4 linked regions of the Drosophila melanogaster genome follow. Changing the gene in region 4 together with the main gene of any one other region gives a genetic interaction. Each region holds a gene or a part of one and is shown on either strand. Other genes may lie near its edges.

Region 1 (7,122 bases), on a different chromosome or scaffold from region 4:
ACGCCACAGGGCCGCTTCATCCATTTGGGAGCGTGCGCCAGGTCATGGTAAACCACTTGCGTGGCCTGCTGCGGAATTGGCTCCTGGGCAAACTGATCCATGCCCGGAAACGAGTCGGCAATCTTGTTGGCGGTTTGCACAAGGTGGTGAGTGCCTCCATGTAGAGAGTAAATGGAAACTGCTCCCTCCAAGCTGGCGCTAGCTATCAGAGCTGGATTACGTGGGCAAAACTGCACATCGGAGTACCACGAGGCAGTGGTGGCAACCTCAGATAGGATTTCTCCCTCTGGAATCTTGGTATTGGGGTTCCAGCAATAGATGCGGTTGTCTTTGCCACACGAAACCATTAGATCGTTGTCCTGCAGGCACCACGACATTCCCAGCACTCCGCGCTCATGAATCTGGTATGTTTTGGCTGGAGCCGTGGCATATCGCAGATCCCACAGCTGCACCACTGGCGCCTGGTCGTCCTCGGAAGCCAGCCACACCTGCGTCGCCGCCTCCGGATGCCACTCAATAGCGTGCCACCTCACTCGCGACTGCGAGTCGGAGAGCTTGATGATCTGCTGACTCTTACGCAGATCCCAAATCACGCAGCGTGTGCTGAACACGGAGGCTAGAATGTGCTGCACCTGCCTGTTCCATGCTACGTTCTTTACGTCCTCCAGTGGTTGTGTCTTGGTGCCGGGACTCATGCTTGTTTCCGGGTTGTTGAGGTCCCAGATTAGGATTTCCGATTCGGAGGCGCATGAGGCCAGCAGGTTGTTCTGGAAGGGATTGAAGTCCAACCCGCTAACGGCGCCTGTGTGCTTGTCCTGGCGCTTCAGAAGCGGCTCCTCCTTGCCTGCAAGCAGCTTGTCGGCTGAGTATATGTTGATCTGCCCCGCCTCGCAGCCGCCCACAATCAGGCCACTGGGGTGTGGTCCCACTGGGGACCAGATGAGTTTTTGGAACCTGCGGGAGGAAAAGCCGGTTATGTGAACGACTTGATGCACAAATTGAAAGCCATAACTCACTTGTACTGGCTGGAAACGCTGGCCCTCAGCTCCAGATCGTATGTGGCATCGCTGAAGTTCGGTGAGTACAACTCCAGAGTGGAATTGGCATTGGAATCGAATTGTTGGGCGGCGGTGCCGGCGGCCAAGAGAATCTGCTGCTGCTGCGCCGGCGACCAGGCGATGTTCACCGTCTTTTGCAGTTCCTTGATCTTCATCTTGCAATGTCCCTTCGTGCTGCTCGTGTAAATAAAGCGAAAAAACACAAATATTATGGGAGGTACAAGTTCAGAACGAAATTGTGTCACGTCCAATTGGAGTAAGCCCCGTCATCACTTTTCCCATTGGCTTCCCCATTGCAGATGTGGCCCAGTAGTGCCCGCCGGCCTTTAAGTATCTTTAATTATGCTAATTGCGCAACTTACACACAATTGTGAATGCAATTTGTACTCGCTTGCGCTGCAACGAGACTTTTTGATCTTGAATTTAACTGGAATCGTTAATATTTTTAAGAACCGTAGGAACGGCCAGTGTGACCGTGCTCTGAGCCAACGTAATATACCACAGGGCACGCACTGAAATACCAAATGCGTGCGACCAGAATATACTGCGAGTTTAACGGTATGCAATTTAAATATTCCGTTTCAATGTGCAATTTTAAAAATAGTTTTTATCAGTATACATTATTAAAAATGATAGTCGAAATTATTTAAAGATTTATTTTCCATCGCATTTTATATTCGTAAACTAGCTTCAGCACTTTTAATATTAATATTTATTATGAACTCATTTTAAATTCCAGATCACTTTGCATTTATTTTTTGACTGGAACTGGACTCGAATGTAGATCTCTTTATTATAGGTATCTTTCATAAATATAAGCTATGTTTATTTAATACGCATGGTATGCATCCACTCATTTGGCAGACGATATGGCCGCCACACGCTGCTCCACCTTGGCCACCTTGCTGTTGATAGTCTCCAGATTCTGGGCGAAAGTCTCCTGTACGGAATGCAGCAGCTCCTTGTTGTTCACCAAGCTAGTGGTGATGGTTCCCTGCTTCTGCTCAATCTCTGCGATGATCTTGGCGAAATTGTTTGCTGCAGAGCAAGTTGATTAGTTACAGAAACAAGCACAATGCTAAAATGCTAAATAGAATTGCTTACCATATTTATGGAGGGCCTCGAGGGCTTGCATGCGTTCGATGACGTGCGGCAGTATTTCCACCACTGGCTCCGTGCGCTTCGCGATGTCGTATAGTTCCGTAATCTTCTGATCTCGTTTGGCGTCCTGGGCACTGCCGCTGGACTTTTCGGCGATAGCATCCATCTTGCCGGCCAGCGAGGTCAGGCGCTGCTCGATGGTGTCCAGTTTATCAGGCTGTATCAGGGCCGCCTTGGTGCTTAGATGACGCACTGCCTCTAGTACATTGGTGGTGTTGGTGGCGGCGGTAAGGCGGCTCAACTTGTCCGGCTGAGCGCCCAGCACCTTCTCCAGCTGCGAGATTCGCTGCTCTAGACTGGCTACGCGGGCCGTGGCCGCCAGATCGGTGCCAGGCGTGGGTATGGCTGTGAGAACGCCGGACTGCTTGAACTCCTCCACCTGGCTAATGAGTGCTTTCACCTGCTTACTTCCAGGCGTCTGCTCCTTGCCCAGCACTTGCTCCAGCTTCAGCGACTCCAGCACCTTTCGGGCCGTGCTGATAACCGTGGCCACCGCATCGTACGACTGCTTCTCCTCGTCGGCTACCTTGCGGTCCACCTGCAAGGCGGCCACCTCGTTCAGAAGCTCGTTCATCTCGATCTGCAGGCGCTGGCACTTCTGCACCGGCGTCTCCTTCTCGCCCTGGCCAACCAGCTCGTAGTCGCTGGAGCCGCGCGTATCGTAACCCCGGCACATGCGTCGTCCAATGCGATCCGTGAAGTCCACACTCCCCTCGACCGTTGCTCCGCTGAAGCGCTTGTGAGCGACGCTCGGCGAGATGTGCAGTCGCTCGATGGCTTCGTTCTCCGGCTCCTCTTCGTAGTAGTCGGATGTATCGAGCTCCGGGTCATCTGGAGTTTCGTACACGTCCGGCTGGTCATAAGCCTAAAAACATAAAGTACATATATGTATAAATGGGCAAAAACGAAAGCTTAAACGTCACTGCCATGGTGCGGAGTTCCGACTTACTATTCCCGGTAGGTTCTGGAACTTGGGATCGGCCATTATTGTGGGCACGTCGACGGCGGTGTTTGGAATCCTTTGGCAACGAAATAATTATAAACCTTCAAAAATCCTTTTTTACAACAATCAATTCGATCTGATGTCATAAAAAAAGTTACCGTGCGCGGTTACCAAACAAATGCCAAAGTGCAGTTGTCATTGGAGTATTTATAAACAGAGGTATCTAAAAAGTCATTTAAAAAAGACAGTTATTACTTGTAACGGCTAATAAGCTAAGAGTAAATAGTATTGCAAAATATATCATCGATATAAATAAATTGTACTTGCACATTGTACTTTGTTAACTGGATTCATAGATGCAAACATTTATAAAAATAAATTAAAGCTTTTTGTGCTAATTTAAACCTATTTTGATTTTAGGAAAAACGATATACATTTAAAATCATTCATAAGCAATAGGTAAATAATTCCATGATCGACTTCCAATTGGTAAATCAATGAAGGTACACTTTTCTTCTGGTATTTTATAGACCAGTGAGGATAGAAAAAAGGCACGGTCCTACTGTACCTAGCACAGGTACTAAGTTAGTCAACACTGTAGTTTTCGTGTAGTTTGCGGGCGAAGCGAGTGGGCGGTGGGAGCTGCTAGTTGGTTGTACTAATCTTAATATTTTGCATCCGAAAACAATAGAGTAATGTCTGGCTTAGAGTACGGGTTGCATAGATACGATGATCTGCCGCTGGAGGTGAGCATATAATGTGAACGGACTGCCGCGGTCCCGTGACCAATCCATCATTTCGAGCGTATCTATATCTGCATATTCATATACCTGTTAGGGCAGTCAGCTGATTTTGTTTTTTTCTGTTCCGCCCCCAGATTGTTTTGAAGATTTTCAGCTATCTCGGCTACTCGGACTTACAAGCGGCAGGATCCACCTGCCAGCGATGGCATGCGGCGCTGGATCAGGCGGAATTTAACCAGCGCACGCGAGTCTGCTTCTCCAAGGTGGTGCTATCGGATCAATTGAGTCCTGGAGTGGATCTGATGCGCTGCGAGCGGCGTTTCCAGCACTTCCTGTTCGAGGACGTGACACTGGGACAAGTAAAGGAATTGATGCGCTTCATGGGCAGGACCGCTCAGTCCCTGGCTCTGGACAATGTGGATTTGAATGACAAACAGTTCTACGGCATGCTGGGCGTGCTGCCCCATCTCCACTCGCTGTCGCTGAAGCGCTGTCTGCCGCTGTTCATGTCCGGCTCTTTCCTGGACTCTTACAACAACTCCTGTCCTGACCTAAACGACCTGGCAAGCAATCTGGCCGGCATCAAGGAGCTGACGCTGTGCGAGAACCAATACCTCACGGATGCCATTCTTATGCGTCTCACATCGTTCATGCCCAGTCTGGAAGCGATTAACATGTCCGGCTGTCACATAGCCTTTCACAATGCTATTCATCGCAGATTTTACCCTGCCACCAGCTCCTCGGATCACGTTTTGCCCAGCGAGTCTGTGCTCACGTTCAAGTTCATCCTCACCATTCTGAACCTGCAGCGACGTACGTTGCGCGTGTTGAACTTTAGCCACACCCTAATTGGCCAGGCTTTGTTGGCCCTTTGCGACCTCAATCTCCAACTGCAGCGCCTCTATTTGGCCGGATGCAGACAGCTTAACTGCACCACAATCCTGAACTTTCTAGCCACACAGCCCCAGTTGTGTGCCCTCGATTTGTCGGCCACAATGTGTGTTAACGATGAAAATCTGGCCGCCTTGGTACAAACTAATCCGCAGCTGGAGCACTTGAAGGTGAACGGCTGCCTGAGCATTACAAATGCTGGTGCCATCCACTTGGCCAAGCTAAAGTGTCTCAAAAGTCTGGACATCTCAAACTGCGATAACTTGACAAGCAGCGGCATCATAGAAGGCATCGCTAGCGAGGAGAATCCGGTAATACAGGAGCTGAACGTTTCATACCTTCAGATCTGCGAGGAATGCATCAAGGCAATTGCCAGTAACCTACGATGTCTGCGATCACTGCACTTGAATCACTGCGTCAATGGAGCCACCGATGAGGCTATCCAGTCGGTCATCGGCCAGCTGCGATGGCTGCGCGAGCTCTCTTTAGAGCACTGCAGTGGGGTAAGACTGAAAGTCGCGATAAATATAAGTTCTGCCTTGTAATTTGGTTTTATTTAAATATAGTTAACCGATGCAGCCCTCACAGGTATAAACATATCCAAGCTGGAAATGAGTCGTAAGCAGTCGGGTTCGCAGGTGTCGTCGATGGACAACTTCTACCCGCCGTACTCGAACACGCTGGCGGAACGAGACAGCCTGGCGGGTTCCCTGCAGTCCATTAAGATATCGCTCAGGAGCAAGGCCGAGGATGAGATTGTTCGGGATGCCCGGCGAAAGCAAGCCATGCTGGCCGCCTACGAAATGAACCTGATACGAGAGGATGATTTCGAGGGTCACAACATTCAGCAGTTGCGGGGATTGCGATCGCTAAACTTGCGTGGCTGCAATAAGATCAGTGATGTATCCCTGAAATATGGGCTGAAGCACATCGAGCTGAGGCGGCTAATGCTCTCGAATTGCCAGCAGATTTCCCTGCTGGGCATGGAGGCGATGGCCAGCAGTTGCCCATCGATTGAGGAGCTCGACCTATCTGACTGCTACAACATTACGGACAAGACCATCCAGGTGGTAACGTCTAAGTTGCCCCGCCTGAAGGCTCTGCACATCAGCGGTTGCAGCCAGCTGACGGAGCACACGCTGGACGCCATTATCACCAACTGCAGCTGCCTGCAAACGCTGTCAATCTATCGATGTCGGAGTATGTACACAGACTTGGAGGAGCGACTATCCGGCGTGAAGACGTTGCGCAACCTGAACATGGACAATCTGACGAGCATCGACAACGCCGAGTTTTTCCGCCTGAAAAAGCGACTCGATTACTGATACTTTGCCGCCATCTTCATTGTCTTGATGTTGTACTACTTTCAGCTGTACAACTTCCGCTAGTCAATCGCCCCAGCCGTCGGAACAACCCCCCACATATATTTATTTTTATCTATCGGCCCCCAGCAGCTGGGCTATAGTTGTGAAAGCTTTAGTCAAATATACATACATATACATATATATGCAGACATATATGTATTTGCATATATGTGCACTTAAATTTACACTAACCGCGCACGTTAGATTAGCAAAATTACAAGTCTCGATTGTAATGCAATTAAATTTTCGTACGTAACGTTTGTCCGCATTCAACTGTGATTTTTTGTAAGGTACGAATCGTATGATAAGTGTACACGATTGTAAATTATGTGATCGGTTGCCAAAATTAAAGTTGTTTGTTTGATTGTTGAGTATTTAACTTGATTTGATTCGTTAGTAGTTATTAAATAGTTGAAAATTTGTTAATTCAGTTTAGGAGAAAAACCCAAAAATGAAGTTTTTGAAAACACATTGTGGTTATAATTACAACAAGTCACTGTCACTTCTTATAAGCTTTATACGATTAAATCGTTAACTGAACTCAACTGACTTAAGTGGTTAATGTATTTGTAAATAAAGATCAAAAATTAAAATAATTACTGAGTAACTTAATGAGTGTCTAGTAAATCGTACAGTTAGTTAAATTTATATTTGAAGAACAATATGCGAGGTATAAACTAAATACATGTTAATCAAATGACTGTTTTTACATTATGGAAAGGTATTCCGAAAATTTACAAGCTTTTGCTCTATTCTTGTAAATAATTCGACTAACCAGCCTTGATATTTGAGATGACAAGTCTTAATGTTCGAAAGTAATTAAATATTTACCCAAAACAAAATTTGTTCTTCTTGACGATCTAAACGGGAATAAATAAAATATCGAAGACCAAAGGGGTTCGTTCAAAATGAATAGATTTATTTCAAAATGAGTTAAGAACATTTGTTGTTATACGTGCTAG
Region 2 (7,799 bases), on a different chromosome or scaffold from region 4:
ATTTCAGTATTTCTGTATTTTTATGTCGACGGCAGGCAAGTCGAGAAATGAAAAGCATCAAAAGAGAAAAAATGCGAGCAGTGGGTCAGAAGAACCCGGTGAAAAATCATATGAAAAGCCAGCACAAATATGTGACCCGCCTTGCACCTGATGTGGGTTTAGAATTAATTGGGTCATAACTATAAGCTATATGTATAAGCGGGTTGGGAGCTTTATCGACGCATGCTAAATTTATCCAAGACAAGACCTGGCCTTTTTGGCATTCGATGCGGTGGCCGCAATTGATGGGAACGCATCGGAACAATTCTGACTGAAAAGCACTCTAAATCCGCAGGGTGGGCGACACCGTAGAGGCTATTCGTACACTCCCTCCGGCAAAATGCAATCGCCAGCTCAAGGAGGCCACCCGGTGCTTATTGCTAATCACACCATCTTGTTGGTTTCCAGGAACCTGCCTAATGCTCAAGCTTGGCCCGAAAGGAGCTTTGCCCAAGGCACTCAAGTGGAACGAGTCAAGTCAAGTCAACACAACCCGAGTCGGGCTTTATTCCCTTCGTATGGTAGCGAATCAGAATTGCAGACCTAACCCAATTCCGATCAAGAAGCGAAAGCCGGAGGGGCCTGGGGGTTCGGGGAGCTAGCTACTCGATTTGGAAAGTGCCATTTGTGCTATTCAAATGAAATCAGCAGCGAACTATTGAGCAGGTGGCGGGCGACACCTTCCATCCACCCACCCACTAACCATCGTCGCACTGGGTAGAACCAGCTAGAACCAGCACAATAGCAGTAGAACAAGCAGACAAGAAACGAAAAGAAAAGAAAGGAAAGGAAAGGTAAGAAAAAGACGTTCGGGCTCCGTCAACGAACACTTTGCGCCCGCCACATTGGAGCTGCCACACCCCCTCTGCCCCTGAAGTCCACACTTGCGAAGTTTTTCCCCCTCGTAAATGTTTGCAGTACAAATGTATAAAACATTACCGCACGGCTGTGCCAAAGACGTGCTCCGCAAATGGCGAAGAAATGGGGCAAAGGACCTCCTCCGATTCTCACTGGCTACGTTTTCCTGATGGTTTTCACTTCTTTTTTTCTGGGACATCAGCTTATGAAAGGCTGAACTATAGTTTTGGTTTTGTTTGCAGTGTAAATAAGAAAGCCAAAAAGGACTTAACGCCTAGGTCTGTGATGTATTTTAGAGCTGAGATCCCATATATCAAAATGAACTATTTTTGGTTGGTTTTTTAGTGAAGAAGGGGTAAATGAAGAAAGCTGTGGCAGCCTAAGAAAAGGAATAAATTTTGTTGAATTTCCACTCAATGCCTCTTTTTTCGACATATGTACATACATATATGCAGGTGAGTAAAATATGTAATACACATTTTCATTTTGTTATTTGGTTTTTATATGACGTACAAAAATTTGAACTCTGTCTAGCTAATTAAACCACCCTTTTCCTTCTTTCTTCGATACTTTTATTCCGGTTTGCCCCCATTTCTATTCATTTGGGTTTCTTTCATTTTCGTTTCGTTGATGCTGTCATTCGTTCTGGATCATTTGCGCTATTGTGAGTCATCGTCATCATCATCTTCATCAGCATTATCAGCGAAGGGTTATCGTATTATTTTCATTTCACCTTATCAGCAGGGCTGGAAAGTCGTCACCTTGCTGGATAGTGGATAATAGTTGTTGACCCACGTTTACCCACGTTAAACTAGCATAAAATGACACCGCCCAACTCACAACCCATTTTTGTTTGCCACTCGAAGGTGAACTGCGATTTTAAGAGCCCTAGAGGCAGACACAGAACAGCACAGCTGGGCAGTAGCACTTAACCCTAATTCCTGCAACTCTGACACAGACAATGAACACATTAGCCAAAGTCCTGGCTGCCTAGTTGCTTAGCTGCCTAGCCACCAAGCTGCTTGACCAGTGCCTTTGTCAATGGTGAAATGAAAATGAGCAAAATGCATAATCGAAAAAAACCATTGAAGCGTAAATGCTTTGTAACAGGATTCAGGAATGGGCGAGTGCTCGAAGGGAGAGGACTCTTACGGCCAGGACAAAACGAACACAAACACGACTACGTAAACCTAAACCTTCGATCCGAGCCAAAATAAAAGCCGATCCAAGCCACGCCAAGGCAACCAAACGGAACGAAACGAAACAAAACCAAGCGAGTGGCGAAGGACGACAAAAAGAAGGAGGGCTCTGGTGGGGAATATCAGGGATGTTGGGGTCACTGCACAGTTACAACCACTCATCTACGTATCAACCCGCCGCACCATCCCCTGCAGCAAAGCATACATGTGTGTGACATCGATACCACAACTAATGAACGATGAACAGGACGTGGACAACTCTTAAACTGACAAATGACAATGGAATCGGGTCGCACTGGGCACAGAGCACTGGGCAACCTGGCTGGCAGTACGGATCGAACAAGTCAGTGGATGAGAGATGCGGCTGCTCAAATGACTTACTATGGCTGACCAGCTACAAACCCAATTGCATCCTAAACTTAACCCAATCACGAACTGCGGTCTCTGCAGCTGAACCCAATGTGGCGAACCCCGAAGGCAGATACTCTTGCTCCACTCCCATGGAATGAGTGTGGTATCTGGGGAAATAGGCAGTATCCACTTTGGCCAGCTTATCGATAAGGTTCTACCTGCACATGTTGCACCGTCTAGTTGGCGAGCCATTTGCTTTCAAAACGATGAACTCAAATACTTGATGCTTCACTTTTGGTTGGGATGCACAAGCATTTAAAAAGAGTACTAGATGGATGCATTTTCGAAGCGAAACCCGGAATTTCTGAAAAGTTTTGCGGCTGTGGGAAATTCCGTTGCGGCGACTGCATTGCATTCCCGAATGAATCATTCCACTCCCAGTGGGTGACTCATGTGGGGGGCGGGAAGAGCTGAACTGCGCCGCTGCCTTCTATCAGTCAGCAAGCAGCGAACTGACTAATTCAGTTGACTCCAGTGAAATTGGGGGGAGTTGTGCCAAAGAAGCATGGTGTGCAACTAAAGTTGGCCGTCGGTTCGCAGTTTCTACCCGACAATCAAATGGCCAACGACTCCCAGCCACCCTTCTCCACCCTCCTGTCATCCCCTTTGAAAGCCCCAGGCCTCTGTAAAAAGGGACTTTGAATGGGCTGTTTGGCAGCAACGATTGCGTGTTCCGTTTGCCAGGTTTGAGGGAGACACATCGTTGGCATCGAGTGTTTGGGGAGATTCTCGGGTATATTGCACATTGCAGTCCGCAAATCCCTCCCTGCTTTCTGGATGATTCAGACATGTCCTTATAAAAAAAGAGTGAAAAAGGGCAGAAAGAATACAAGCAGAAAGGAGATAGCTACAAAACGGGTGAGCAACTGGGGAGGGCAGGGTACAAAAAAACAGAAATTCTTTTAAAAAAAGTCCCTAGTTGGTAATGCATTACTACAACATTGGAGGAAACCACTACTTTGGAAATCCCGCTTAAAACACACAGAACTTTGCCGACAGTTTTTTTTTTACTGAAAATGTGGGTTATATTGCAACCAACTGCTAGCATTTTTCACAAAGAAAAATGATCCAATATTAAAGTTACACGAAGCAAAAGGTATTAAAACGCTTTAGCAGTAGTTGTCCCAAGCAGGGTGGGAATGGTGGGTGCAAGCGACATAAGTAATCAACGACCACCACAAAAATGACGTCGGCGATGCGTGCCCCTGATAACAACGAAGCTGAAGGGTGGACCTGTGGGTGAGTGGCTGACCAGGTCCAGGCTAGTCCTGCCATGAATTGCACGCAGCGACGGTCTAGCATGAATAGCCGAATTAAGGGTAAGATGGGTGGAGAGTGAATGAACGAATGGAGAGCAAAGCAAATTGCAGGCTGCATACAAAGCAAGACATGAAAGGAGTGCAATGCGCTATAAAGCAGCTTAACTGCTCCCCTGTCCGGGATTGGGCCGAACTCCTGGCTCCTGGGTCCTTGGAGGTGCTGCCCCTCGGTTCTTCTCTTTCAATTGGTCTGTCTCCACATGAATATGGATTTTATTAGGTTTTTGTTCCGCCACAGAAGACTGTTCGCTCTGCGTTGCCAAGGGAAAATTGCTCCGAGGTATTTAAGAGACAAGAAAGTAAAGCAAAATTGTTAAGGTCAGGCACGTCGGCGATTGTGGATCGGCCCCAAAGAACGAGAGCTGCCGCCTGGCAAAAATTGTTTGCAAATGATTTAAAAACACTTTAGCTAAAGCTAACAATATCCTAGTAACGCATGTCTTCCCTTTTGGTTTGTCGGTAGGTGTGTGCGTGCACGTATGCCAGTCGATGAATTGACCTGAACAAGAGGATTCGTGGTGAATGCAGGTCCAGCCCCAGACCAATTTGGGGATTATGCTCAGACAGAGCCGGATAGTTTTTAGCCGGACTTAAACCCCAACCGAAGGACGCATAACCCGGCCCCGCACTCCATTTCTACGATATTTGCCAGTCGCTGCGTGTAGAAAATCAAAATCAAAATGTCTGCACGCCCTGTTTGGTTTCGGTAACACCTCCGCTACTTTTATATGCAAATTGCTAGTCGAAGCCAGCTGCTGCTATCCTCTAGCCTCAAGTTTTCGGTTTTCGGCTTTCAGTTGGCCAGTAGCCAGCGACAAGCAAACGGTTCAATTAAGCCAATACTTGCGCACACTCGCAAGTAATTTGGCAGCCCTATCACCCATCCCCATCCCATCCCCATCCCATACCCATCCCCAATCTCCAATCCCCAATCCCCAATCCCCAATCCCCAACCCTTTCCCGCCTTCAAGCCCTCGAGCCTTTAGTGCCGCTGCTAAGCGATGGCACATTTTTCGTAGCATACTTTGCGCGGCTGCTTAGCCGACGGCCACCACATCCCACAGAAACCCGCTCAAGTGCTTGTGTGCTTGTGTATCTGGCTCTCTGTGTGTGTGCGAGAGTGTGGGTGCCTGTGTGTGTGGGTTGCGGTTGCGATTGGTATTGCTGTTGCACGCAGAAAGTATAGAGCCACACTGCTATTTTGTGAGCCGTACTCAAGTTATACATAAGTTGGGTGTTGTGTCAGTAAGCCAGATGAGGCAGTAGCGCAACAACACAAGTCCCTAATTGCTGGAGACCTACTTGTCTTCCCCGGACACCGAATTAATATTGTTTTGACTTCTATCAGCTTCAATGCGTGGCTAACATCGAGCGTCGAGTTGTCTGTTTAAATCAATTTGTCATCCCGATTAAAGCCCTAACGAAACAATGTTTTAGTGTGCAGTTTTGCCCAGTTTCCCAGTGTTCTCTGTCAGTTTCATTTTCGGTTTGTGTTTCTGTTCTGAGTTTCGGCTCTTTCGACTTACTCCTTCGTTCCATCGAGTATTGTATCGAAAGTGGAGTGAAATGGTCTGGTGTGCTGTGGTGTGTTGTGGTGTGCTGTAGTGTGGTGTGTTGTTATGTCGTGTGGTGTGGTGTAGTGTGGTGTGGTGGGGATTCGGTGACTCACCTGAACCTGAGCAGTGCCAATGGCCAGGACGACCCAGAGGCTCCTCAGCAACAAATTACGACGCAGCGCGGCGCACATTGTTCGCACTCTTTTCTGCTTCTTTGCTCCTCGTCTGGTTGGCTCCTGGTCCTATCTCCTGGCTGGGAATCTCCGAGTTTGGTCTGAACTTAGCTGCTTCTGCGGCTGGACTGACGTGCTTCCAGTTCTGGTTAATTGTATTTGCTTTGTTGGCTATTCGTTTAACACTTTGCTGCACAGGCGGACGACGGTAGCAGCAGCAAGAAATCGAAAACACAAAAAAATTTCATTAGCAAGCGATTCGGAATTGTGGCCTTTCGTTTCAGCCTTTAACTTTCTGGGTTCTGGGTTATGATTTCTGTTTTCTGATTTCTGCGCTCTAAGGTTCGTACTCCGATTTCGTTCGATTTGCGGTGCCCAAGTTAGCTGCCCACAGCGCAGCGCTTTTCCTTTCGCCGATGCCCAGAAACCTATGCACGGAAAATGTCAACTCGGAAAACTCTGTGCGTGTGGCTTGTATGTGAGTGGCCGTAGTATTCGATTGTGGAACGTAGTAGGAGAGAGTCCGTGATGGGCGGGGGCGGATAAGGGAATTGAAGGAAAAGGAAGAAAAGAAAAATAAGGCAAAGCTACGAGAGTACTCGCTGCTATCTGTCCTGTCATACCCACTCGCTGGTTCTCGGGGTCCTGAGATTGTACTTCCCCGAAACGGAAAATATGAGTGGCACTATGGCCGCCGTTCTGCGCCTGGAAAAGTTGTCAGCTGCAGTCGTCGGGTTCCACGTCCCATGTCACTTGTCCATGTCTCCTGTCTCCTGTCTTGGCAGTTCCCACGCAAATCCACCCACTCGCTAACCCCTTCCCGCACTCTTGGAACGTATCCGTCGGGCTTCTGCGCACTTTCCCAACCCCTTTCTCACTGATTCTGCGCAGGTGCGCTGCTTATTGTCCCCCAGCTAAGTTGGCATCACAAATCCACTATTGGCATCGGCTTCGCTTTTTCTTTCCGAACTTGTATCACTTTGTTTTGGATGTTTCTCTATGGTTTTTGTTGTTGGGTTTCTTTTTTAGCACTATTTAGCACTTGAACAGCAAAAAAAAGTATTGAGCTTGTTTTGGTTAAATTTGACGGTCTCTCAATGTGTGTCTCTGGTTTTGTGCTTGTGGCTCCTCGGCCACCACCTCTCCGCCCGAGCGGGAGAACGACAAGAGCCACTGGCCAGCAGCCCCTGGCCTTCCCAAGCTGTCGGGGAGTGGTCAGATGGGGTGGCCCGAAGAAGCCCCTAAAGCGCTGAGTTTTTGGAGCCCTGGCTGTACGCTATACCTGGCGCTGCGAACGCTCACAAACGACTGCGAGTGGTCTCGTTGCCTGCAATCCTGCGAGTCCACGTCCGAAAGTGCGAACTGCGAAAGTCGAACTCGGGCGCAGAATGCAGAGCGCGTGCCCGGGATCGATATTAAGGGCGAATCGAGCAACTGGCCTTCCGCTTTCCGCGGGGGTGACAATGTTTTTGGCTGTCCGGGCTGCACTATGGTACCAGTGCTTCCAGTGGTAGTGGTATTAGCGGAACAAGCAGGACAGAAGTGACTAGGGAGAACTGGTTCCGCGGGCGAACCAAGAGTGTCTGGCGGAGTGCTTGTTAGTTAGTTTACATGCACACCGCTAGGTGGAAACTCCCAAGGGAATTTCGCACAGGTCACCGTCTTCAAAAGGCTGTCCTATGCACGAGTTTTTATAAACCACTAAACTTAATTCAAATTTGTTTTCCTCGATGGATTCAAGAGTTTATATACTTTTTCTAATGGTGAAGCCAATCTGCACTAGATGGCGTCGATATGTAAGATGTAAGATGTAAGATGTAAGATGTAAGATATGACCAAATCCAAGTTTCCCACCACCAACCACCCAATTTCCTATCCACATCACTTATTGCTTGGCCCTTAGCCAAGTTGCAAACCACTTTCGACATTATTTAACATGTTCATTTTTTCCTTCCCAGCGACTGGCAACTCTGTGCCGCACAGCTGATCTTCTTACCGGCTACAAATTAGATTTCTTACATTTGTTTATTTACGCCGCCTCCTACTTGCTAGGCCTCAGGAAAGCATAAACCTAGGAACGGAGCCTGGTACAGACACGGAGCTATACACCTACAACAACGCACATTTCACCTAGTTGCGCAACGCACTTAGCCGGCTGGCGTGGCAGTGCACGGTAAGCTGAAACGTACGTGGCAATGAATATGAAATCGAGCTTGCAGGAACATTGAACCAACGAGCGTGTAG
Region 3 (8,176 bases), on a different chromosome or scaffold from region 4:
CCTGACCAGGGAAAGGGAACGGAATCTGTGGTTTCCCGTGCAGCCGTTAAGATTAACGGTATGCTGTTCGTAAACTCAGGAAAGCGCATCTTTTTGCCGGAGATCGCAAACGTTTTCTTCGAATGTCATCCGTTCCAGAACGTGGTCAAGGATGTGGCTAGCGTGGAGAACGTCGGTGGTCATGTGCTCACCTGCCAGTGGTGCTCTGTCGAATCAAAGCGTGCCCCCAAAAGCACTGCCCAATGCCATAACTTCCTTATGTCCCAGGCCAACTTCACTGTTTTCCCAGGAGAGGTGCACGTATGCCGAGCGCTTTTCAGGCCACGTGGATGCTACCTGCTGAAGCAGCGATATGAGCTCCGCATTTTTCCCAACGTAATCGGTTCTGTGCGCGGTATTTTCTTGGCCCGGCTTACGGGGCACTGTACTCCCGCGCCGGAGTACACAAACAAGCTGCGGCGGCACCAACAACTGCTTACGGACAAGGCGAAGAAGAAAATGTCCAATGACCTGAACAAGTACCAGGCGTCCGTAGTGCCCCTTTTGCATCCGCCCGAAGTGATATGTCCTTATGAAAGAGTTTTGGATGAGAGGGAGGTGTTCAATGTAGAAAATCCCGGCTACAAGTGCGAACGGTTTGATGATCTGGAAAAATTGAAGTCACTATACAAAGCTCTAAAGAAACCGAGGGAGCCCGCTTGGGATCTGCGCCTGCAGACGGTTCGTGAGGTAATCCTGCGGCTTCCGGACTCTAATAAACGGAAGTTCTATTACGGAAAACTGGTCAAAGTTCAGGAGGAACTAAAGCTGGGTAGAGGCAGAGATTCTCTTACGCATTTCAGTCGGAATGACGAGAGGATTCGATCCAGGTTCATCTACGTGAGGGGTTGTATAGGCAATGGAATCCAGGAATGGGAGGAGATGATGGCGTCGATGGAACTGAGTGGCCTCAGATTGGAGATAAGTCACTTTCAGCTAAGAGAGGAAGAAGGGGAGCCGCCATCCGACGGGACCGATTATAATGGCAAAGAATCGGAGGAAAAGCCGTGGATCCAGCAGCTGCGTAGGAAAAACCCATATCAGTATCTCTTGAAAAAACTGCGATCGCGGAAATCTTACAGGGATAGCCTCTACATGCAGACCTACTCGCACCTGTGTGACATGGCCGAGAACGTGGTTTCTGTTATCGAGAGCACCAAAAACGCTTAAAGTAGCCCTACAAAACAGCTTTTTGCGGCTTGTTTGCAATGTTAACGTCCAAATTTAATATGACCGAGAAGTTGCTAAAACTCTCGCATTGAAATAAAGAAAAACTCCCCAGGGATGGTCTATTGATTTGGAAATCTATTAGCCCGCCCGGGGTGGGAACTATTTCCCTGCCTGGGGACACACCTGTGCCCCCGATGTGGCGCCAACTTTTCCCATTACGATAGCCCTTTATGGGCCAACAAAATTGCCCATTTCACGAGAGGAATGCGGGCCCACACCCCGCAACCCCCATAATGCTTAATGGCGCGCAAATGTGGGCCGGAAAAGTTTGGAAGCCGACTTCGATTTGAGCTAGCTTGCATTGATTTGATGACACTTTGGGGCCCATTCGATTCCGCTAATAAACGAACCACGTCCAGCCCCCTAAACTCCAGCCATTCCCTCCCAGACTTGGCGTGTCTAAAAGTTGTCTGCACCTTGGGGCTGCTCTTTTGACGTTTCCTTCCCAAATGGTGTTTGATGAAATGTGGCAACGAATGAGGCCGTTATGCTTGCAATTAGCCAAATTGATTTTTTGATAGCGTCAACGCTATCCAACTATAATCCCCATTCTTATACTCAATCTTATTTTGGCCCTTATTAGACTCAGCTAATTGCCTTCGATTTACATTTTCGTTTCAGGTAAGCCAAGCGCAGAAACCTACATAAGTATACGTATTGCTGGACAGGTCTTTGATGCCCGGCCCCTCGGGAGCTTCACACGCCGCCGATCCACAATTCAAAATGCCATAAATCATGCATCATTGAGGCATCCCAGGTTGTGCAACAAAAAGCGGCACGCAGAAACGTAGTGTTTCCGTTCACACTCAGCTTCTAATTAGCCTGCGCTGAGATGGCACTAATGTGCGGCCTAATGATCTCCAGTCGGCAGGCAATGATGGTGACCAACTAACATGGTCAGCTGGAAATCAACCTTGAACTCGTCAGATGGCCAACACGGTTGACATCGCACTTTTTGTCACTTCAAGCCCACTTTGCAATGTGGTTGGGAAATATTTTTGCTTTCTGACAAGAGATATTTCATCACTAAGTACCGGCTTTAAATGTAGCTTATGTTATATTTTTGGTCACATCTAATTTATAAAAACCACTCTTAATTACTCAAAAGGGTTTGGCCAAATCGTATTTCACGGTTACCATATTAAAAACTCTTTTGGGTACCCTTCTAGTGTTTTAACTGTTAAAGTATGAAAATCATTTTAGTACGTATTCTTTCGTGTATGTGTGGTAATCAGCTCTTCTGATGCACTTCATTACTACATGCAGTTTTTTCTTACTTAATTATTTTAAGTTTATTGCTCTTTAAACACCATTAATTTACAAGGTGTTTATTACTTAAAGTTAATTATTTAAGATTTGAACAGCGCTGCCATCAGAATACGGCTGGATATATAACTACTAAATTCTTACATCCATGGGAAGGTAGATTACGCAATTCACTATTTATGAACACGAGGCATTCTATGTAAAAGCCCTATTATTGTCCCATAGAGTCCTGGAAAGTTCTTCAGATACTTCAGCATCTAGAATTTTAGAACCCTATATTGTTTGCAAAAAGAAACAAGAAACTTATATTTCTACATTAGACTTAAACGATGAAATATTAGGAACTCAGATTCTACAGAGAATCTTACGCGCAAATCTACATGTATATGATTCTAAAAATGCGTAGTAACGAAGCATACTTTTGGGATGGTAGTGTAAGCAATGGAGCTATCAAACAAGTTCGATGTTGCAGTTGCGGATTGAGTTGCAGCTTATGATATTTGGCGTTTTATACAAATTTAGACAATTTTAACGACGAAATCGGAAACAAATTACTATAAACTATCTTGTTATCGTTAACTACACTTAATAGTGATAGTATTTTGGCAGCTCGTTGAAAGAACACTAAAGCAAGAAGTCCCACGAACACCTTACCTTCATCGAACACGATCCACAGCCTAAGATCAAACCACACAGAAATCCACATCTGGGCAGGTTCGATCAGTCTGAAAGCGTCGTCAGTTGCGAGCGGTTTACATCTGGCAACAGGTGCGGGTTAGTCGTCGCGTAATCCGTCTGAACGATCGATCGATCGCGCGCTCTTCGGCTATGTCGATTTCGGTCCACGTTATCTTGCGCCAGATCTGTCGTTTACCGTTTTTCAGCCAGATCGGAGCAAAGTGCACAAAAAGCTGCTAACTGAATTCGCAACAATTGCAAAAAATTGACAAAAGTGAAGTGCAATCCATAATCCAGAGTGGTCCCTATCAGGGCCAGCTAAATAAGTCTGGCATAGTGTTCCTTCCTGGGGCCAAGTGAATTAATGCAACAATTGGCCTAAGCGCTCATTTACGCTAAATGCTCGGGATAAGCCACACGGGCAAGTGAGATGTGATTTAAGCCATGTTTTCGCCTGATGATTGTCAACGCAGCTCGTTTCGTACAACACGGATACCAGCTGATACTCAAACTCAAACTCCTTCACTGATACAAACGCTTTCGTATTCGTATTCAGATACAGATACAACTGACAATAAAATTACATTAAAAATCAAATGAAATTCGAGGCCGATTGATATGCGAGGCACAGACGTCGGGCCGGCTGCTTTAGCGCAATATTTTTATGGGATTATCGAAGGTCGAGAATCTGTTAGCCAAGGTGTGTGGCTGATACTTAGGAAACGAAAGACTTGAGCAACGAACTTTGGATATGCCCGGCCCGTCGGTGTAATGGCTTTCATAAGCTTATGCACATTACACGTCAACTGAAGTGCTCAGCTTGATTTATTTAGATGCGTTAAGTTTTAATCGCCATTCGCAGCGCACTTTCACCAACTTGCTGCAGCCTCGCGGAATGAAGTCATAACCAAATAGGCTTACGACCCGCTCCAGCACATAAAACATGACTCGTCTAGCCATAAAAACACTTGCCAAAGCCCGAAATATTTTGATTACCGCGCACAGCTCTTGGCTTTCTCCGCCGCTTGATCCAATTAGTTTTTGGTGGGCCATAGTGCAGATAAAGCTGAGGATCTACGGATCTGGTGATCCAAAGCAGCTGCCACCCACAGAAGTGTAATGAAACGGGCTTACATGGCGGCAATGTGTCAACAATGGCTTGTTAGCAATTGCTTTTCAGTCCCGTGTGTGTGTGTGTGTGTCTGTGTGGGCTTCGAACACCTCATTGACAAGAGACATTTGACTCGAGCTGAACGTGTGTGTGGGCCGGGGTTGAAATTTATCTCCGATTTCTAATTGCCTGACATGCCAATTTGAATTTAAAGCGCACCGATAGTGGTTCTGCGGCGCATTCCTCCGCGGTGTATGTACATAGCCCAGGCACGGTGGCCATAAAGCACCAACGGAACACTGCAATTCGCTCTGGTCTTTTATGGCCCGGCCAACTAAATCAATTTTCGCACTGCGGCTGGCTTCGATTCCGGGCTTTATTGAGAAATTCTTCATAATTATGTAGCGTCGGCCGGCGGCGGTTCGAAATAAAACTGTTGTTTATGGCCGAGTTGCGGCAACTAGTTGGCTCAATTATGGAGCTGCTGCATCAACTTTCTCCCTCACTATGGGCCAACTGCCACGGCTGCTTAACCCCAATCGACGCCTCGAACTGACTAACTAACTAACTAACTGGCGTGTTAATTTGTTGGTTAGTTTACTCCGCACGCAGCCATCTAGCCACAATTGCCGGAGCATGAAGGCAAGATGCTCTGGCTATCTGGCTGTCGGGCTATCTGAGATACAAAGCAGCTAAAGATTCCCGCCTCGGAATAGATTGGCCACTTTACAGTTATCGACTTGGTTTTGTTAGCATAACAAAAGGTCCGAGTGGGTCAACAACCTAACTTCGTTATGTCAATCTCTGTGTCTGTGCCCCACCATTTGCATATTACACATGTCTCACGTCCATTTAAAGACGCAATTAACGAACCATTTCCCAGCTATTCATCATTGGCGAGCGAATTTCGGTCTGTAAATTAATTAGGCCCCGTTATGAGCTTTTGAGGCGGGAAGTCGTAAATAAGTATTGGATCCGTCGATGGACGTATGCAAACGCCAATTTGAACTGTCATCCTGTCAGCTCGCGTTAGTTTCCCAACCATCTTCCAGGCAGATAAGAACGGGTTCCCCGGAAAATGGAGCAACGTTAGCTGGCCCGGCCCGCTCGTTTCCTCTCACTCAACGCCATTTGATTGGATTTGACATTTAACACGAGTGCGCTGCAGATTAGACCGGCCAACTGCCTACCGCCCACAAGGTGTCCATTTTGGCGGCGTGCCGACTCGATTTTCATTTCACTTTGTTTTCCACGACATCGAACGATTTTCGAGATGCGATCGGGTTTTATGTGAGCGCAATAAAAACTTGAAAAGGAATTCCATTTCTGCTTAGAGCAATCAATTTCGATGGCGACAAAGACGTTTAGCACCCCGCTCCACCGATAAGCCAGGCGTGAGATTATTATCCGACCCAATGAAATATGAGGCCCAGACAATGGCTCATTAGATCGCCGGGCTTTCGCCCAAACTAGTTTGGCTGGCGGACCTAAACTGTGTAATTATTACGGCCTGGCCCAGCCGTAGCTTTCAGAGGCTCAAATTATAGTTTGGCAGTAAAATAGACAAACAAGTTAATCCATTAGCGAGTGAGACATCCCGCCTGACTGCCAAACAGAACCGGAAAGAATCCAGCTCTGAAGACCGCTATTGGGTGCATATCTCTTATTGTTTATATTGTCTCCCTGGCGGGATTCGTATGGTAATATCGGAAAATGTGCCAGCTGCATAGGCCCATCCGACTGCATAATAAATTATGAAATTTTACAGTTGCAGCCGCGCTGAATGAGTTGTCACGTCTGCGGCTTTCTAAACCACTTAGGTAGGCAGTGATAAGTCCATATATATGTCAGATTCTGTGGCGCTGAATGGGGTTCTTGATAGCTTGATAACACAATTTTAACCCGTTCAAAAGAGACTTTCCGGGCAAATGCGGCTCAAGTGGGCGCAACACTAAACACAAAAGGTTGAGTGCTGCGGTGAACGGCTTAACTGCGCGTTGGGAAAGTAAACCAAGACAAAGCAATTGACTTTTTAACCTGCATTTCTGTAAATTACACTCCGAGAAAAATCTACATAAATAGTCATAAAATTAATTGCGCCTGTCTGCCATTTTCCACGCAGTTTCCCAGCCGCCGGCCATGAAATCTTGAGCCCCGGCAAATGCCTGGCAATAAAAGGCACCATAAAGCTACCATACTTGAGTTTATGCCGTATGCAAGGGGGGACACTCCTGGTCAACTGTGTAATTCCAACTGGGGATTGATGACAGAGCCGCCAGCCATTGAAACTAAAGTAGAGTCGTATGGAAAATCGCAGTTAAGAGCAATGCAATACAGCAATGGCAACTTCTGCATTTGCCTAGGCTGAGGCGTGTGCAAACGCGCATACGCCCCGTTGGCCTAGTGCGATTTCAATCAGCCGCTGCCAATGGGTCAGGCATTATCAGATATTAACGCCGGCAATTTGGCATCGGATAAATTACGCGACAAGCATCGATGGCGTCACTTACACATGTCGAACAACCGCCATCAATAAATACTAACGGTGCCTCGCGGCATCAACTCCACATCCACATCCAAAGTGCAACACTCCATCTGGCATATGGCATCTTGGATCTGGGATTTACAGCCTTCCATCTTCTGCCGTGGACCAAACGCCGGAAGTCTTTGTTTGGGCATTCGCTGGCCGCCCGGCTCCAGTTTTTCTTTATGATTATTGTGTGATCGCGTTTTAATCGCATCGGGGCATAGCTCTTTGTGGCGCATGTGAATCATGCACAAGTGCCGCTTTTCCCATTCGGAGACCGGTTTTCCCCACTTACCCACTACTCATTGGGCTCTAATCACACCCGCTGTCTAACTGCAAATCTGGCCGAGATCGCGTGCTGCGGCCCCGACTTTGTTGCGGTTGGAAATCATCTTCAATTTCTGTGCTAGCCGGAAGCCAGTTGCTCCATTCGAGCGATTATGATTGCGATTCTTCTTGTTTATAATTCAATTATAGTCCTCCTTCGTTCAGAGCCTCGAATTCTTCCGCGCGAATGTTGAGTTTTCTGGATGGAATGTGTGCCTACGCTGCGTGCGATGCATGCAGAGAAAACGCTATAATTTCTCTATTTGGACTAAAATTAATGCAAAAAATGATCTATATATGGCACTCTAGCATGAACTTTGAATTGAGCTACTCTCGAATTCATCATGAGAATGGACATATTATGACAGTTTTCGTTTAGCATTGAAAATGGTCCCGTTGGCCGTTTAACTTTAAATTGAGTTGTCACTAACGAACTGACGTCATTCCGTTTCCAAGCTGTGTGCTGGTACCTGTGATCTTTGATCTCGAACTCTTTGGTAATCTGATAAATATTGCCTCCGCTCTTGATTGACAGCTTTTCCCTGGCATTGATCTCATAAATCTGAGCCGAGGCCTCGCTTTTTGTCGACTCCATTAAGGGGTCTGCAAGCACTAAGCTAAAAGCAGCTTAATGCACTCTGGAATTCCCAGATACTCGCAGCTAGAGATAGAGACAGCGATACAGATAGAGATACAGATACAGATGGACAAACACATACAGGATACATGTGGTACGTGGATGACGGTAAGCTGCAATTGCTGCCGAGGCATTTGGCTACCACTCAAGCAGCTGCGGCAGTCACCGCTGATGGCGATGATGATTAAGATGAAGATGAAGTTATTATTATCTGACAAGGGCATCGCCGCCATGGAAACTGCAGTGGCTCGCACTTAGCGGAGCTGTTTTCCACGTTTTCCGCCGATGCCTGCTGCCCCTACGTGTCTGCTGTCTTTATTAGGGGCGTGACTAATCGGCTCGATGCCTGATGGCCGATGCC
Region 4 (8,920 bases):
TGAAGAACACCAAACTTGACTCCGAGAATCTGACCATTGATGCCAAGGACGCGCTTAGCCAAAAGGTGGCCATCGAAACGGAGGAAACATCGAAGGATTCAGGCTCAACGTTGACCAACCTCATGAAATTCATTCTGCCCCTGTCTGCGCAGAGCAAAACCGATAAAATAGACATAACCAAGACGAACTGGTGGGAACGTGAGGCGTTGCAGTTCATGCGCGGCATGATGGACGAGTGCACCCACCTGAAGAACTTTTCGGTTCCCTTCGACACCTCCCTGATAATTGCGGTATGTGCCAAAGATGATGCCTATGTGCCGCGGGAGGGGTGTTCCAGTCTGGAGGAAATATGGCCAGGAGCAGAAGTACGTTACTTGGATGCCGGCCATGTGAGCGCCTACGTTCTGCATCAGAAGCTATTTAGGTGGGCATAAAGTTTTCTTTATAAATTTAAATAAAATTATAATAGATCACTTTTCTTTTCAGATCCTGCATTATTGAGGCTTTCGAGCGGGCAAAGAAAATCTATGAGAATGACGTGGGCGAGGGCCTGAAATGTGATATAACCTATGAGCAGTTGATAAAGAGATATGACAAAAATATTCAGTAAATATAAGTTAGCATATCAAAACATAATGATGAATATGTTGCCATTTAAAGAAAAGTCTAGTAAATTGTACATAATTAGGTATTTTACTTGGGAAGGAGTACAGTTTTCTTGATTTGGAATGGAAACTGGTTCCCCATATATTTTCTAATTTATATTACCACGCCCACCAAAACGACCACAATCGACAATAAATATAAACGCCAGTGAGCTAGTGAGCTATCTAAAAAAATAGTCTTTTCTTCTTTCGTACCAGCTGAGTAAGGGGTATCCTATAGCCGGGAAACTGAAATAAAGCGTTCCCTCCTTTTTAATATATATGTAAATTATTAAAAAAAAAAAAACATTTTAAAAAAGTGCCGGTAAAAGCAAAGCTTTATTCATTTGGAGTTCAGAACTTTTCGTTCTCGAAGCTTGGTCACACTGGTGCATAGCTTTTGTTTTTGTTGACTGAAATAAATAAAGAAATTGCAATATAATGGATCCAGTAGTACTTGTTTTATCTTATGGAGCAGTTCCTGCACTGGAAATAGTCGAAAGTAAGATTAGTTACTTGAAAAAGTACAGAGTGTTCTTCAAAGGCCCTATTTTTGTTGTCCCAGTATTTTCACGTTGTTGCAGCTTTGTTTATTTGAAATTTATGAGTAATACAGGCGAATTAAATGTTTTTATTCTGTTGGTATGAATACAGCATACTAATCATACAATGCATTTTTATAAGAGTATAAAGGATTGTTAAAAAAAAAACCCATTCATAAATACGTTTACTACTACGTTTATACGTTCCATTTTGTTGCAGATATTTTATCTGAAGTGAATCAATCGAAGGAATCAACATCAACGGAGTGCTCACTTAATTGTTATAAGTGCATCATTAAAACCAAGTACTATAACACTTCTATCAACTTAATTCCATTTTCTGGAAAACTGGAAGCTGTGCCGGAGAAAATTCTTCAAGCAACCGAGGCGTTGATTATTTACTTTGATTCACAAGACGTAAGTGTTTATAAAAGCAATAATAGTATATCTATTATATTACAATTACTTGCAGACCTCCTTTATCGACACTATTCCCAAGACGTTAGCGAAGAATGAACAGATTCAGCTGGGCTTTCTGCTAACCTCTTCCACTTCAGAAGAAGGTGGATTGTCCTTTGGAGAAATTAAGGAGAAAACGAATTTCCTTTTTGACATCATAACATTGAGAAGCAATGTTGAGAGTGACCCAGATGAAGCTGAAAAGGACTACGAGGAAGTTGTGGAGGGTTTGAAAAACGTAGTTTGGTCCAATGTCAAGTTTGGTTCTGGTTAGTGCCCAGGATTTGAGTTGAGAAACCAATAATCCATTTCGTCCTATTGATTTGCAGATCACAAGGAGGAAATCAGTGCCGACGAGCTGGATAGTCAGCTGAAGGACTTTGAAAACTTACTCCTCACGGCGCAAAATCTACGTAACGATACGAGTCTCACTCGGGAACAATTTCTGGATCGGGCTGAGCAGTTTGCAGGCATAGTTTCCTCGATTTTAAATGACAATGATAGCGACTAACTGATACTCAGTTATCGTAGGCAAACTAATCGTACTGTTTGTTATCAATAATAAATGTTAAGCTGATTCCACTGTAATGTGCTATATCTGGTCCGTATTTTTGGTTTAGTTTTGAAGGTTTAAATACAAACAGGATTATGTTAAATATATTTGGTTTATTATTAAAAGCGGTACATATTTTTTGAAATAACAAGGTATAAAACGTTGTTTATTTGCTAATGTATGCTTGAGAGCTTATGTATATTAAGGAATGAATAAATAAAGTGTGTGTTTGCTGTTAGCTTTCAATCATAAACTTAAAGATTCCGTTGTGGGCGATGAACAAATAATATTTTTATGGTTTCGCATTCTTCTGCAAGAATAAATGGGAATGATTAATTTAAGTTAATTAAGTTAAGTGATTCGATTTTGAAACTCACCTCCTCAGAGAAATCCAAATCCTCTTTAATTGCCTTCGATCGTCGCTTTTCGTTTGACGTTAGCAATTGTGAGAGCTTCGTTTGTTTAGCTAGATCGTAGGCTTCTTTTTTACTCCGCATTGCACAGTCTTCCAGGGTTTCGGCCGCTTCAAACATGCCTTGACGTCGGTAAAGTGCTCCCAGATTTTTTAGAGTGGTTGTGACCGTGGGCGAATCCACTTTAGCGGCCTTATGCCAACCGCCGTACTCGCCATATGGAGTGTTCTCCCTGTTATCGAATTTGTGCTCCTCACGCTCCTCAGCCACCTGAAAATTGTAGTAAGAAAAGGAACTTTTGAGTATTTACCAGGCATAACAGCACAACAACACAACATTACCTGCCAAATGGGCTTGTTTTTGCTGTCGATGGCTCCAAACTCACGTTCGTGGGCTCGCGTCAAGACCTGCTTATAGAGGATTTCAGCTTCGGTGTATCTACCTTGCTTCAGATAGCAGCCGGCCAGATTATTCTTTGTCTTGGCCACGTTGGGATCATCGGGACCCAACTTTGATTCGTAGATGTCGAGAGCTCGCTGGTAGTACTTCTCAACCTCGTCGTATTTGCCCTGATTCTGGCAGAGCAGGGCGAGATTGTTAAGTTGCTTGGCAACATCGGGATGATCCTTTCCCAGGACTTTCTCTCGGATCTCCAAGGCACGCTTGCACAGTGGCTCGGCATCTTTGTACTTGCCACGTTTGCCATAGAGGACGGCCAAGTTGTTCAACGTGGCCGCCACGGCTGGATGGTTCTCGCCCAGTGTCTTTCCTCGAATCGACAGAGCGTCGTTGAGTAAATTGGCGGCCTCCTTATACTTGTTCTGTATGGCACGAGATGTTGTTAATTAACGATTGTATAAATTAAGTTAATCAAAGCGTAGACGCACCTGATCGCGGTACACGAGAGCCAAAATGTTCAGCATGGTTGCTACATCGGGATGGTCGTGACCACTTGTCCTTTCGAGATCTTCCAATGCTTGCTTGCAGAGGGGAACGGCTACCTCGTATCTAGAAATATATTAGGCTATTATAGTTAATGATGAATTGATAGATAACGATGTTGTAGGTAAGGGGTTTCTTTAGTGCTCACGAGTAAAATAAAATGCATGGATGATGACTTACCTTCCCTGCGATGCATACTGAATGACCAGGTTGTGCAGAGTACGGAGACGCGCTGGAATCTCGTAGCCGGAAGTCTGGTTGGCGAACTGGCTGGGCGGAGTGGGCGACATGTTGTGTCTGTCCTCGTTTTCCTCGTCCGGGAATAGCTCGACCACGGGATCGGTGCGGGACTTGTCGCAAGCGTCGTCCTGCTCCTGATTCTCGTCGTACTTCTTCACGGACGCCATGAACTCCAGGTGCTTCTTCTCCTCCTCTAGTTGGGCCACCAGCTGCTCGGATGCCTGGAACTTTTGCTGAGTGTTGGCCAGCTCGTCGCGAAGCCAGGCGTTCTCCTGGTGGAGGCGGCGCACCTGTGTCTTAAGCTTGTGCTTCTCGGCCTCGATGTTCTGCAGATGGGATGTCAGGGCCATCATCACCTGGGCCTCGCTGAGGCCCAGTTCGATGTTCTCGATGTTCTTTCGCAGCATGTCCGACTTTTCATTGTCCTTCTGCACCTCGGCGATTCCGTTCATAATCGAAACATGCTCCACTCGCAAGGCTTCGAGGCCTTGAAGGACTGTTTTCGTATTGGTTATGATTTCGTCCTGCGACATTTGCGTCATTTTGCCGATTTTCTCAATTTTCTGTCTACAAAACACATACAAAATACAGATTAGTAAGTGCTCCTACAACCCTCTGACATCTGAAAGTGTAACAACATGAATGATATCAAAATTAAAAGGTGTTAATCGAGGTATTTGATGTGTTTTACATCCTGTATGATTTGATAGCTTTGGAGACAATCATTTTAACCGTATATTAAACGATTCTAGCTGCGTTAATCAATACGATGAAAAAGAAAATTCGCAGTGCGCATGCACGTTAAAAAAGGTGGTTGATAATCGAAAATGCCCGCGCTATTACATTCGCTGTAACAATAACTTTTAGAAACTACAGAAACTATTAAAAGTAAGGGATCAACTTTCTGGATTAAGTTAACTTCAATTTACTTTTAAGCCAAACAAATTCCAGTTCATTCAATTATGTTTTCTAATTGGAAACTAATGGTGGAAGCATATTCGATTTATATCGAATACTGTGCTTTGAAAACTTTCTTTTATTTATTATTTATCAACATTGCCGGTGTGATTTACATAAACATGACACTTCGTTAAAAAGTGTTTAAGGCCATTTAGTTCGTTTATTATGGTTATAATTATGGGCGAAAGTTAATTACACTTGGCGTCATGCAATAAACAAAAAACGAATGGCAAAAGTAGCTGCTTACATCAACTAAAATAAATTGTATAGTTTTTTAGAGACCGAAGCTATTAGTACCCTAACATATTCAAAATTATAGTTTTCTTTAGTCATTTGCCTTTCGAATCGGAAATCTAGATTGCGTAAAATGAGATTGTAAGTTGATTTTCGAGAAAATAGCTTTATTCTTAATCAAGATCGCCAAATATTGTGATTGGAATAGTCAGATTATAAATATTGCAAATGGGGTTACAACACCCCAGCTCACTAATTCCAGTGTATTAAAAAGTGAGTCACTTTTTGTACATAATATCTATGAACACTTAAACATAAAAGTTAGTGGCATTAAGAGATTGTATTTAGTATTTATCATGCTAAACGATTACTTAGGCCTTAGGCCTCCATTTGTGTTTACTTTGCCACACGAGCTGCCGCCGAGCACTTTTCCAACTAGACTTGATTATTTATGTAAAACGAATCATATTTTCCAGTAAAAAACTTTTCTTCAAGTGGCAGTCACTTATATTTATGTGCAACATATGTACATACACAGATAAGCTCAAGTAGATGTGTTTGTGTGTGGGTGAATGGATTTTGTCGTTCGAAATCCAGTTGGAAATGATTATGCAAGTTATCGCGCAGTGCATTCAAATATTGTAACTTATTACCAGCGGTTTTGCTCTGCAAACTCCTCAAATAAGCGAAATAGTGCGTAGATTTGCTATAAAAATATCTTACACTGCAAAACTTCTAAAATAAAACTGAGTGTGACCGTAGCCGGGGCGTTGAATTGTGTTTGACAAGCTAGGATTTTCTTCAACTGTGCAGTAGTGGTCACACTGTCGGGAGGAGAACGCAGTGGAATCGAAACACTAACTAAAGAAATGAAAATTCCTGAAAAAATCGGGTAGACTAACAATAAGACTTCGTATAATAGCTAAGATGTAGTATAAATAAAGTAGTAGTTAAAAGTAATAATGCGCAACATGCTATTTGTAAGCATCTATAACATGTTGGAGGTCAACAAACGCACATACCTTGGTGGAGCAGGTATTGATTTAGTTCAATAAAAAATTTAATTTTTGGAACTAATTAAAGGTGTATCTTGAAATTTGTACACATAATATATAAATTAATTTGTTGTTAACTTAATGGATTTGAAAACATCGTTATTATATTAGCAAGCTGGCATATTTTTGTATTCACGATACGGTCGCACTATTCTTTTTGTAATAAATTTTGCAAGACTTTTTCAAGTCTCCGTTTTTGTTCTATATTTTAATTTTTACCGTCTAAAACTGAACAAAAGAGTATGCCACCCCCAAGACCGAAGGGGATAGGATTTAATACAGGAGCTACCCAACCCAGATCGAACTCAAACACGCCAATGTCGGAGAGGCAGCAAATGGCTCTGCTCATCCAAATGACAGCCAACTCGTCGACAGGTAAATAAGCAAAATAATTAAGTGAATGTCTACTTTTCACATGATTCAAGTGGATTTTATAGTTCAGTCACAAAGCTTAGAACTTTTGCTCGTCGGCTTGAATTTCAATTTACATCGTGGGTACTTCGCTGCGTACATACTTACACGCATATACATCTATGCATGTACATATCTACGTATGTACATACATAAATGTATCTGAGAGTCAGGAATAATGTAAAAGTATCCGAGAAACTGGTTTCGATTGCGGATAAATTGTCATTTAACTGATTCAAATGAAGATACCAATTATTATTGAAGAAATATGTGTAAAGATGTCAAAAAAACCCTGTCTCTTATCCGAGCTAATACTTTAGAAACCAAAATTAAAAACAACTCATTTAACGATGCTTAAGTTCTTAGTTTTCACACAAAATCATTTTAGTTGGTTTTCCTTCAAACATAACTACAAATTCCACCCGAAAAGATATCCGATAGACAATAAGCTTTCATTTTACTTCCTACATGATCTTCCAAACTAAATCACACAGCCGTCAAATGTAATGTATAAGATTCTCGTTCTTGCAGATTCATCCCGCACCACCTTAAAGAAGAATGAATGCAAGAAAGGAGACGCAGAGACTGACGAGGGCAGCCTGAATGAGAAGCAAGAGGTCCTGGACACGAAAGACAAATCTTCAGCGGAGGAGAGCAGCAACGATGGTAAATCCAGCGATACGAATCATCAGGGAACTTCGGCTGCCAAGCGCTGCTACTCAGACATAGAGGAGGACTACGAGGAATCTGGCGAGGACGTAAAGAAAAAGAAGCGCAAGGATTCGGAGCATGGAAAGGACGTGAAGGGGGCCTCCCTGAAGCTCACATCGCGCGTGGAGAAAAGCTCCAAGCTAGCTGCAACGAAGGGATCCCCGTCAGGAAACAAAAGCAGCGCTTCCAATGCCGAAAAGGAGCCGGCGGAGACTAGTAAGAATGTAGATATTGAGAACGAAACGGAGTGCAGCGATGATTACAAGAGTAACGACAGCCTATACAACGGAGGACTCAAAGTGCCGCCATTAAAAATTGTGATTCCGCAGCAGAACTGCTCAATCGACACTGAGGGCAATGTGCTTCGAACTGGCAAGGTGACTGCCTCTCGCAATGCCGCCCTGCCGTATGTGGTCAGCTCCAATAGCGATTCCATTGACACCGTCATAACCAATCAATCTATTAGCCCGCACGAAAGTCCACAGAAGAGCAATAGCATTTGCTCCACAGCCCTCGATGACAAGAATATAAAGCTCTTCAATGACGAAAAGAACCTGAGGGTCCTGCGAAGCTCTCATCGCACTGGAGTGACCAGTGTGGAGCGCAGTTCCAATAACTCCTCCCCGCAAATGCAGAGCAGCTCTCCATCGCCAGCGTCATCGAATCATGCCAACGATCCTGCAGATGTGAAGCTCTCCTATAGCAACATGACATCTAGTCCGATCCCGCAGGGCCACCAGTTTGACCAGGAGGCAATCACCAATGTTCCAAGCCCGTCGACGTCGTCGACATCCTCGTCCAAGGACATAAATCCCTCGAACGTGGAACTCCATCCACGGAAGCGAAAGATTCGACCGAAAAACACCGACGACAGTTCGAAGAACTCAAATGCGGCGGATTCCGGTGTCAACTCCGAAGAATCTCACCCCCATGACCATCCCTTCACCAATGGCTTCCAGATGTTCTTGAGCATCCGTCGTCAGATCGAAAAGAAGTGGAAGAGCTTGTATCCGGTGAAGCCAAGACCTCCGCAAGGTTACAACGAGTATCTGCTGACAAAGAAATCCTACTTATTAAGACGCAATGCGACGATCTCAGTTCCGGATATTCCACGCACTGTTCCGCAGGCCATGGAGAGGATCTATCAGGATCAGGAGAAGGCCAGGCGAGATCTGATCGAAGCGCACACCGTGGAGCGGGAGAAACTATGCATGAACGTTGAGCAGGAGATAATACGCGTTCACTCGAAGGCGGCCAGGAGCATATCTGGACAGCCGGCGCCCTATTCCGTTTGCACGTATTTGAAGGACGACGAGGTCTACAACATGATCACACCGGAGCAGGATGAAAAGGAAAAGAGTGCTCGTTGCCGCTTTAATGGACGTTTGCTCCTCAGCTGGCTGCAAGATGTTGATGACAAGTGGGAGAAAATTAAGGTATGCTGACCCTAAACAAAATATTTTTCGTTGTAAATCTTAATTGTTGTTACCTTTGAAGGAGTCCATGGTGTTGCGGCATCATAACGAGGCGGAAAGTCTGCACGCCGTGCAGGTGATGGATTGGAATATATTTGCAAAACGAAATAGGCTATGTGACAACCCGATTGAAGTTAATTTGGAGCACGTTCCGATCGTTTCAGTTGGTGACGACTTTGACACATTGCCAACATAACTGACGCATTGAAATTAATAAATTTTTACAAGATTATAAACACAGGAATGTGTTTCTTCGAAAGATTTGTGAACTAGAGATACTT

What was found.
Region 1: of Klc (region 4) and DCTN2-p50, changing one enhances a phenotype caused by changing the other (phenotypic enhancement), as found in Drosophila melanogaster (one study listed by BioGRID).
Region 2: of Klc (region 4) and Appl, changing one enhances a phenotype caused by changing the other (phenotypic enhancement), as found in Drosophila melanogaster (one study listed by BioGRID).
Region 3: of Klc (region 4) and pk, changing one suppresses a phenotype caused by changing the other (phenotypic suppression), as found in Drosophila melanogaster (one study listed by BioGRID).

Annotation. Positions count from the first base shown.
Region 1 is NT_033778.4:8,888,036-8,895,157, reverse strand, and holds DCTN2-p50 (dynactin 2, p50 subunit), read right to left. Parts: upstream 3,327-7,122; 5' UTR 3,205-3,326; coding exon 3,169-3,204; intron 3,085-3,168; coding exon 2,163-3,084; intron 2,097-2,162; coding exon 1,912-2,096; 3' UTR 1,819-1,911; downstream 1-1,818. Other genes in the region: Sec31 (secretory 31), read right to left, coding at 1-954, 1,017-1,213; CG8272 (uncharacterized protein), read left to right, coding at 3,858-3,908, 4,040-5,299, 5,363-6,121. UniProt on the Drosophila melanogaster protein: Modulates cytoplasmic dynein binding to an organelle, and plays a role in prometaphase chromosome alignment and spindle organization during mitosis. May play a role in synapse formation during brain development.
Region 2 is NC_004354.4:529,573-537,371, reverse strand, and holds the start of Appl (beta amyloid protein precursor-like), read right to left. Parts: upstream 6,203-7,799; 5' UTR 6,183-6,202; intron 5,746-6,182; 5' UTR 5,574-5,745; coding exon 5,496-5,573; intron 1-5,495. UniProt on the Drosophila melanogaster protein: During development, plays a role in the regulation of the neddylation pathway. Appl and APP-BP1 interact antagonistically during development.
Region 3 is NT_033778.4:7,183,976-7,192,151, forward strand, and holds the start of pk (prickle), read left to right. Parts: upstream 1-3,257; 5' UTR 3,258-3,638; intron 3,639-8,176. Other genes in the region: CG30384 (uncharacterized protein), read left to right, coding at 1-1,209. UniProt on the Drosophila melanogaster protein: Acts in a planar cell polarity (PCP) complex; polarization along the apical/basal axis of epithelial cells. Correct expression of the alternative isoforms is required for PCP signaling in imaginal disks.
Region 4 is NT_037436.4:12,744,323-12,753,242, forward strand, and holds Klc (kinesin light chain), read right to left. Parts: upstream 5,735-8,920; 5' UTR 5,641-5,734; intron 5,518-5,640; exon of another isoform or gene 5,388-5,517; intron 4,577-5,387; exon of another isoform or gene 4,485-4,576; intron 4,361-4,484; 5' UTR 4,336-4,360; coding exon 3,734-4,335; intron 3,620-3,733; coding exon 3,499-3,619; intron 3,433-3,498; coding exon 2,953-3,432; intron 2,882-2,952; coding exon 2,576-2,881; intron 2,509-2,575; coding exon 2,491-2,508; 3' UTR 2,294-2,490; downstream 1-2,293. Other genes in the region: CG32112 (uncharacterized protein), read left to right, coding at 1-424, 487-610; CG32109 (uncharacterized protein), read left to right, coding at 1,086-1,146, 1,407-1,603, 1,659-1,914, 1,975-2,156; CG10984 (uncharacterized protein), read left to right, coding at 6,285-6,417, 6,480-6,533, 6,985-8,600, 8,662-8,835. UniProt on the Drosophila melanogaster protein: Kinesin is a microtubule-associated force-producing protein that may play a role in organelle transport. The light chain may function in coupling of cargo to the heavy chain or in the modulation of its ATPase activity.